Linked DNA regions of Saccharomyces cerevisiae S288C. Changing the gene in region 1 together with any one later gene gives a genetic interaction. Each region holds a gene or a part of one and is shown in the gene's direction. Other genes may lie near its edges.

The links.
Region 2: mutations in LAM6 (region 1) and PNS1 together harm fitness less than expected from each alone (positive genetic interaction), as found in Saccharomyces cerevisiae (one large-scale study listed by BioGRID).

The regions. Positions count from the first base shown.
Region 1 is NC_001144.5:276,996-281,765, forward strand, and holds LAM6 (Lam6p), read left to right. Parts: upstream 1-1,866; coding exon 1,867-3,948; downstream 3,949-4,770. Other genes in the region: RGR1 (Rgr1p), read right to left, coding at 1-1,631; RFU1 (Rfu1p), read right to left, coding at 4,024-4,626.
Region 2 is NC_001147.6:636,179-640,389, reverse strand, and holds PNS1 (Pns1p), read left to right. Parts: upstream 1-1,831; coding exon 1,832-3,451; downstream 3,452-4,211. Other genes in the region: YRR1 (Yrr1p), read left to right, coding at 1-830; YOR161C-C (uncharacterized protein), read left to right, coding at 1,123-1,269; mRNA transport regulator MTR10, read right to left, coding at 3,633-4,211. UniProt on the Saccharomyces cerevisiae protein: Probably involved in transport through the plasma membrane.

The DNA.
Region 1 (4,770 bases):
TCAGCTCTATTTATCTTTGACGCGTAATTTGATAATAGTGGAGTAGGATTCCTAAAATAAAACTGCCCGCTCAATAAATCAATTTTTAATTGAATAGGCGCCATGGAAACACATGTGGTAGGGAGTTGAAATAATAGAACATCCGAATTTTCTTCGTCTTCTTGGAATATATCCCTTGCCAACAGCTCCGATCTGATGATTCTAGCATGATTGAACATAATTTCATCCAAAATCCCTTCGATATTAGATACAATATTGTTATAAATTACAGGCATATTTTTGGCCCTTGATGCACTCTGGTTGTCCCATTTTAAGATAAGACTTTCTGTTGTTCTTTGAATGCCAATAGTGATCTTACCCTTACTGTCCATTTTCCCATTCAGCCAATATCTAACTGTAATTGTACTTTTTTTAGAGTCATAGTTATGGATCAAATTACTTTTGGAAAATTTACCGCCGTTGGCCAGCTTTAAAAACTCTCTATGAACCATGTATAGCTGTAATGTCAACACGTATTTGTGCAGAAAATTGTATAGGGATAATAATGGATCATTACTTTTCAAAAGAATTTCATTGATCAACTTCTCTAATCTTGGCTTATTCAAAGGAAGGTTATTTCCGTTGGAACTTGAGTTTTCTTCATTGTTCTCACTATCGCCGTTAGTCGAAGTAGCTTCTGTAACTGCTGAAACAGTTTGTTCAGCTTCCGTGTTAAACAACAATTTTAAATCCACAAAAAACAGAGGGGACTGTCTATTAACAGTCGATAACTGGATTTCAAATTCATTAGGGACAGTAAAGTAGATTCTACCGTTTTTGATATGATAGCTGTTTAATGGTTTAGGAATGTTCATTAATGCAATTTTTATTGAGACAGTCAAGTTCAAATCTTTTAATCTCTGTAAAATCAATCCAATGGGAACTTTGGCCATTCCATCTACCATATCCATAGAGTTACTGACACCGCTTAATTTAAAGTTGTGTGTAGGTAGATTTGGCCTCCCAAGACTCAAAACTTCCAAAGCGGTGACCAAATCCACGTTGGGCAATTTAGCATTGGTCATAGAGTTTAGACTGCTTTTCAAAGCCCAAATACAATTGTTGACATTCATGTTAGTCGTTCTAAACCAGTTCAACAGATCGATTAGTACGTGAAAGTTGTTTTGTTTTATAGTACGGGTCCATTTCACAAGCACGTAAAGTTTCAAAAATTGTGTCCTTAGGAATATAATCAGCTGTAAGAAACGTATTTTCTTTGCGGAGTTAGGCTCATTTGCCTGGGTGTGAACATTAGTTTTCATGTACTGAGCAAGTTCCTTCATTGTAAATACCGTCAAGTTCCTTATTACTAATGCCAGACTGACTTGATTAATCTCAACATGCGGCAACGCTGGCGGAGGCGCACTTGTCATAGTCGCTGCACTTGTATCTTTCGGTACCATTTCTAGAGATTCTTTTTGGGTGGCCGTAGTTTCCGGGTCGGTTGCAGAAGGGCCATGCAGTTGAGTGTTCTTAACGGGACCCTGTTGCTCTTGCCCATTCTGCTCGGACCGGTTCTTCAGTGCGTGCATCTCGTTAGAAAGTCTCTCCTCATTAGCCAGCATTTGTGGGGATCCTATCGTGGTAGTCATTGCCCAGCCAAGAAAACCCTATACTTTCCTGCCACTTTTTAACTCTTTTTCTGATGATCTTTACAACAGACCTCTACTAAACAATTGAAAAATTCACCGTTTTTACTTGAACCAGCGACCGTGCGATGGGACAATCGTTTAGTTAACAATAAGCGGGACAAAGTAATTAAATTTAGTGGCATCTAGAGAGAATAATTGAACGCAATGAAGAGAGCATGGTACGTTGAATTGTAGAATGTGGGGGGATAGTATGCGCGAGCTTGGTGACGCTATGGATAATGAGTTGAATGCAGTGAAGCCGGTGGTGGAAGAAGGTGGCATGGATGGTGCCAGAAAATTTATTAAGGGTAAGAGCTTTCAGAAGTCTTCTACCGAACATATGTTGATTTCGCCCGGTAGGGATGGTTCAGTGCCATTGAATGGGTTGAAATCGTCGCCGGCAGACCCGCACTTGTCTGATGTTAATTCTATCTTGGACAATCATCGTGGCGGTGGCGAGACAGCTTTGACGTCTGTAAATAATATTATCATGGCCACTTCGACGAATGGGGACAGTGATGGGGTTGATGGAGATGCCAAGAGGCCGTCTATTTCTAACTGTTCGTCGAGATCATCATTTTTTGACACCGTACTGAGCACGTTTTCCCTAAAATCAAATTCACAAGATACGGTTACTAATGAAGTCAAAAATATTGAGGTCCAGTTTGCATCCGAGGAGGCTAATAAAAAATTCCGCCAAATGTTCAAGCCATTAGCTCCTAATACGAGACTTATTACGGACTACTTCTGCTACTTCCACAGAGAATTCCCCTATCAGGGCAGAATCTATCTCTCCAACACACATTTATGTTTCAACTCAACCGTGTTGAACTGGATGGCAAAGTTACAGATTCCCTTGAATGAAATTAAATATTTAGATAAGGTCACCACAAATTCAAGTGCTATTTCGGTGGAAACCGTGACTAACAGGTACACTTTTTCCGGATTCATAGCGAGAGACGAGGTTTTCCAATTGATTACAAGAGTTTGGTCAAAGGAAAACTTAACCAATATCAATGACGTTTTGGAGGTTGATGAGAGGGTCTCCAAGAAAAAGGGAATATCATCGACCCCTTCTTCCATATTCAACAATGTTTCTACCAATGCATATAACGATTTCATATCGACAACCACTACTGAACCAACAAGCAGGGCTTCCTACATGAGCGAGAACGACATGCTCATCGAGGAGGCCATAAGGTCCGTGGACGATTACATGGGCACACCAAGAGCATCGCCATCTTCTTCATCTTCGTCGTCATCGTCGTCATCGTCTTTAGGCTCTTCAACAACTTATTATTGTAGGCCCGTATATAGGTTAAAGCCAAACGCACCATTTCAATATGAGGGGCCATTCCATGTACAAGAAACCATGGACTTTCCTTATAAACCTGAGGCTAATAATGAATACGTGCTTCTGGAACGTCAATTCAGCGTTCCACCCGGCCTACTTTTCATTATGATGTTCAATGAAGATAATCCAGTTTTTGAGTTAAGCTTTTTGAAAACTCAAGATTCGTCCAACATCTCACACATAGGGACTTTTGAAAAAGTCAATAAAGATGGACAACATTACAGAGAATTCCAATACACCAAACAGCTGCATTTCCCTGTGGGGCCCAAATCCACAAACTGTGAGGTAGCGGAAATTCTTTTACACTGCGACTGGGAAAGGTACATAAATGTTTTAAGTATAACAAGAACACCAAATGTTCCTAGTGGTACCAGTTTCAGCACCAGAACGAGGTACATGTTCCGATGGGATGACCAGGGGCAAGGTTGCATATTAAAAATAAGTTTTTGGGTGGACTGGAACGCATCCAGTTGGATCAAGCCAATGGTAGAGAGCAATTGTAAAAATGGACAAATTAGCGCCACTAAGGACTTGGTAAAGTTAGTCGAAGAATTTGTAGAGAAATACGTGGAATTGAGCAAAGAAAAAGCAGATACACTCAAGCCGTTGCCCAGTGTTACATCTTTTGGATCACCTAGGAAAGTGGCAGCACCGGAGCTGACGATGGTACAGCCGGAGTCGAAACCAGAAGCTGAGGCGGAAATCTCAGAAATAGGCAGCGACAGATGGAGGTTTAACTGGGTGAACATAATAATCTTGGTGCTCTTGGTGTTAAATCTGCTGTATTTAATGAAGTTGAACAAGAAGATGGATAAGCTGACGAACCTCATGACCCACAAGGACGAAGTTGTAGCGCACGCGACTCTATTGGACATACCAGCCAAAGTACAATGGTCAAGACCAAGAAGGGGAGACGTGTTGTAACAGAGTAATCATGTAATATTGTATGTAAGGTTATGTATGTTCGTATGGTATGGAAAAAAAAAAAAAAAAAGGATGCTATGTGGAGAATGTAAGGCGTGGTAGCTCCGGATAATTCAGTCTGTAGGCTTCATCACGGGCAGTGGCCTGACTCTGAGAGCTTGCTCCGGTATTAAGTTGTGCGTTTGAAATTTTCTGGAAAAAAGAAATTGATTGGTTGAAGCTATACTCGTCGAAAGATTTCTTCGGCAGTGGTTGTTGCTCCACCTGCACGGGAGTTGTGTTTGCGTTTATGTTCGGCTTGGCTATATTATTAGCGAGTGATGTTTGCAATTTGCTGTATTGAGAATCAATTTGGGTGCGTAAGCTTTCAATAATTTTGCAGACCGCAGGCACTTCCAACTTTATGAGTTGCAGGTATTCTCTTTTATGAATATACGATGACGACGATGACGACGACGCATCCATGCGCAAAAGCTCAGGGTGTCTAGATAGTTTGTTAGTCAATAAATCCACATATCTAAAATAATAAATAAACGACAGCGACAAGTCGTTGGCCTGGAACGCACACTGTGCCTTTTCCAATATGCCGATGCATGTTTTCAGGTAAATTCTCAATGGTATCGCCGGATTGAAGCGATAATCCTTAGCGTCCTGAACCAATTGCTTACTAGACTTCATGACCTACCGGGGCCAGATAAAGATGCGGAAGGAAGAGAAAAAATGTATAGTGGTTGGTGAACCGCAACAATAATTCGTGCCAACACTTTAATCGAAGCAAAAATTGTCTTGTATGTTATTAATATTATCTATCTAACCATTGAT
Region 2 (4,211 bases), on another chromosome or scaffold:
CGTTTTATGCACTAATACATTCTGTGCTGAAAGTCAGAAACATAGAATCCAAAAATAATACGTTTCAATTGGTTTTGATCAATTTTTCCATCATTGTGAATACCACAATTCGATGCTATCGTATCGACAAAGCACTTTACCCAGAGAAATTCGAAGCCTCCAACCCGCACTTACCGCCACATATGGCGTTATCAATGAGCCTCACGGCAGGGCTTTTTTCCAAAACATTGGTGTTTTTTTGTTCTCTGATCTACTTTAAGTTGACGCTTTTCGAAAATGGACTATGTCTATCCAACGATATGGAAGTTGGATGGTCGGATTTGACGAAATTGACTGTTCCTTTAGACAAGGATCTATCTTTAGGTACAGCAATGAGCTTGTACTCGTCAATCTTCGATCGCTTGTTCACGGTCGGAAATAAAGAATTAATACGCACAATGCATAGATCATCACAATTTGTGATAGAGCTAGCTATTGAAAGGACCTATAGGACTATTCTTGGCAACGTTATTGAATTCAGAAAGTTGACCGAGGAAACATGGCTAGCACAAATCAAACAAGAACTAGATCCGCAGAGCGATAATCCATCATCAGAAGCTAAAATTGTGAGTGATAGGCAGCGGGATCTCAGCCTTGCAGTTCCAACGCCCACGCCCTCAATAATTCCAATGTTACCCTCGCCTGGTGAAACTAAGAACCATGCAAAGAGTCAATCAGAGATCATTCAGATGCTGACAGATGAATTTTGGGCAAATTATAACTCAGGCTGGGAAGAGTTGATTAATCAATCTGAATTTTCCACTCTTTTCGATGATTACAAAGACAATTAATGCTAAGTCGAGGCAATCTCGCGGCGCGACTACTTTGAAGCCTTTTTTTAGTTCTTTTTTATGATCAAAATGTTTATATAATTACCCAGATTATCAACCCACTTCGATGATGGGCCGCACCTGACAGAAAAAAATGAATCAACTGGCTACTAAAGATGGTACAAAAGTTCACTTTATTCAGATATAGAATTGCTGAATCGCTGCTTACCGCCATACGCTTGACTACTTTTACACCCGTACACCACACATACAACCGTACGACTACTTTTCATGCAACAGCGTGCGTTTCGACATGTCTTACACACGAGTAGATCATCCCACTGGAAAAATGGCTTGTCACCTGAGGCAGATTTTGGCAAGCCCACTGTTTTTCGCAAATTATGTACTACATGCAGCCATTCACTACCCTTCGAGCGACATACGCGGCGACATCCTGTAGAGCAATGTTGTCCTTACCAAGACGTCTTGATGAAGGATAAGCATACGCGAAGAGATTTCCTCTCGGAGAGCCTGCAGGGAGCGGCGCACCTCGCCAGCGGAGTTATCACACGTAATGGTACTGAGTGAGAGACCCCGCCCGACACCGCACGGCCATTTGCAGAAAGAAAAACAAAGTCCACTACGGCTAATTACTGCAGAATGCTTTTTTTTCTTTTTTTTTGTGGTTGGTATGTTCCCTTCTAACAGGATTCTTCCTTCGGTAGATCCTTGAGGGGTTTAAGGGGTTTTCTGTTTGCGTAATGGCGTAATTGCCAGCTATATATAACATTATCATCACATATATATCCTTATACGTAGCTTGCCCTTATATATATATTGATATGCGGATATTCGTTGAATGTAGTTCAGTCGTAATCGCTACTTATTGGTAATCATAGCAATTGAATGCTTCTATATTCCTTTCTTACTTTTTTTAATTGCGCATTATAAAAAACTTGAAGGTGCATATTTCCGATTAGGGCCATCAATAGTGACCATAATTATCGGTACATTAATACGTCATGCCATTGAATGAAAAATACGAGAGGCCTCCGCAACCTCCTCCAGCATATGATCCCAACCATAGGCCGCCCAGTTCTTCCGAGAACTCTGCCGCGGCGAATGTCAACGATGGCCAGACGCCGTACCATTTTAGACAGGATCAATATTACAATCTAAATTCCAAAACGAGTGGGGCTCCTATAGGGAGCTTCGACGAGGCCTTTCCTACTGAAAATGACAACAAGCCCAGGTGGAACGATTGGCCATTTACCATTTTTTTCCTATGCACGGTAGGCGGATTCATCGCCATTGCTGCCATAACCTTAAGAGCGTGGTCCCAAACCTATAGCAGTACGGGTTCCGGAATATACGATGGTGTGAATACTGGTACGCTGAACACCAATGCTGCCATCCTGCTAGTTTTCGTGTGCATTATTGCCCTAGTATTCTCCGTTTTGGGCCTCACACTTTGTCGAATTTTTCCGAAGCAGTTTATATATTGCGGTATGGTCATCAACCTAGTGGCTTCTCTTGGGACTGCCATCATGTACATGTCTTTGAGGTACTGGTCTGCAGGTATTGTGTTTTTAGTCTTCACGTTCATGACCGCGTGGTGCTACTGGGGTATGAGGTCTAGAATTCCCCTTTCTGTGGCGGTATTGAAAGTCGTCGTCGATGCCATGAAGAAATGCCCACAGATCTTCTTTGTTTCATTTGTTGGAGCGCTAGTTGCTAGTGCGTTTGGGTTTCTCTTCTCAGCAGTCATTGTGGCTACGTACATAAAGTACGATCCTAATAGCTCGAATGGCGGCTGTGACGTTTCTGGTGGCAGCTGTTCGCATTCCAAATTGATTGGTGTTTTGGTTGTGGTTTTTTTCTGCGGCTATTATATCTCTGAAGTAATAAGAAACGTCATACATTGTGTTATTTCTGGCGTCTTTGGCAGCTGGTATTATATGTCAAAGTCTGACCAAGGAATGCCAAGGTGGCCCGCATTTGGAGCATTGAAGAGAGCCATGACTTACTCGTTCGGTTCCATTTGCTTTGGGTCCTTGCTAGTCGCTTTGATCGACCTGTTGAGACAAATATTGCAAATGATCAGACACGATGTTACCTCCAGCGGTGGCGGTCAAATTGCCATCCAGATTTTGTTTATGGTGTTTGACTGGATTATCGGCTTTCTGAAGTGGCTCGCCGAGTATTTCAATCATTATGCATACTCGTTCATCGCTCTTTATGGTAAACCGTATTTAAGAGCGGCCAAAGAAACCTGGTATATGTTAAGAGAAAAGGGAATGGACGCCCTAATCAATGATAATTTAATTAACATTGCACTGGGTCTATTTTCAATGTTTGCTAGTTATATGACCGCTTTGTTCACGTTCTTGTATCTAAGGTTTACCTCGCCTCAATACAATTCGAACGGCGCTTACAACGGCGCCCTAATGGCATTCTCATTTGTTATTGCTTTACAGATTTGCAACATTGCAACAGAAGCCATTAGATCCGGTACTGCAACTTTCTTTGTTGCTCTTGGTAATGACCCGGAGGTCTTCCATCATTCTTACCCTCATAGGTTTGATGAGATTTTTAGGGCATATCCTGATGTACTCAGAAAATTGAGTCACCAGAATGTGTGAAGAGATGTTTATCATATGTCACTATTTCTCCTTGTTCTTCTTAACAATTCTATATTTAATTACAATATTTTAATACTTAATTTTTTCTACTTCAATTACCTTTAAGTTCTATCTTTATTAAATTGTTTATTTTGTTTTTATACATTCTGTGCAGATTAACAATATGCTATTTATTAAATGACTATTCAAACCTCGAATTGATATTCTTTCTTGAATACCATCCAACAAACGCCCTAATTCCTTCCCTCACCTTTCTGTAATCCTTTGAATTCAACCCCTCAACCACGGCCTTCGCCAAATTATCTCTTTCATTAAGGGTTACTTGGCCAAGTTGTTCCACCACTTTGTAAATCCAATCGATGCAAATAGTGGCATCGTTGTTGTTTGCCTCTGTCAATATCCTTAAACATTTTACAATACAACTGATGGCATCTGAATGAGCGGTGTTTTCAAAAGTAGTAACCAGCCCGATGAATAACACTAATATCAATTGGTTACCGTGGGCTATCACGACTTCGTTAATAACTTGCTTCCTCCATTCATCTGGAACAATCTCGATGGACACTGTTGAGATCGGTGGAGTCTTGAACCCCCAGGATATGATATCATCTAAGCAACGCAAGATACATATGTAAGCATCGTAGTTATCAAGCTTATTAACACACTCGAGGGCAACATTCAGTACGGGGCCTAGAAGCTCTGTTGAATTCAAAAATGCGCCAGGATAAAACATTATCAAGTCTGAAATTAATGAGAAAAA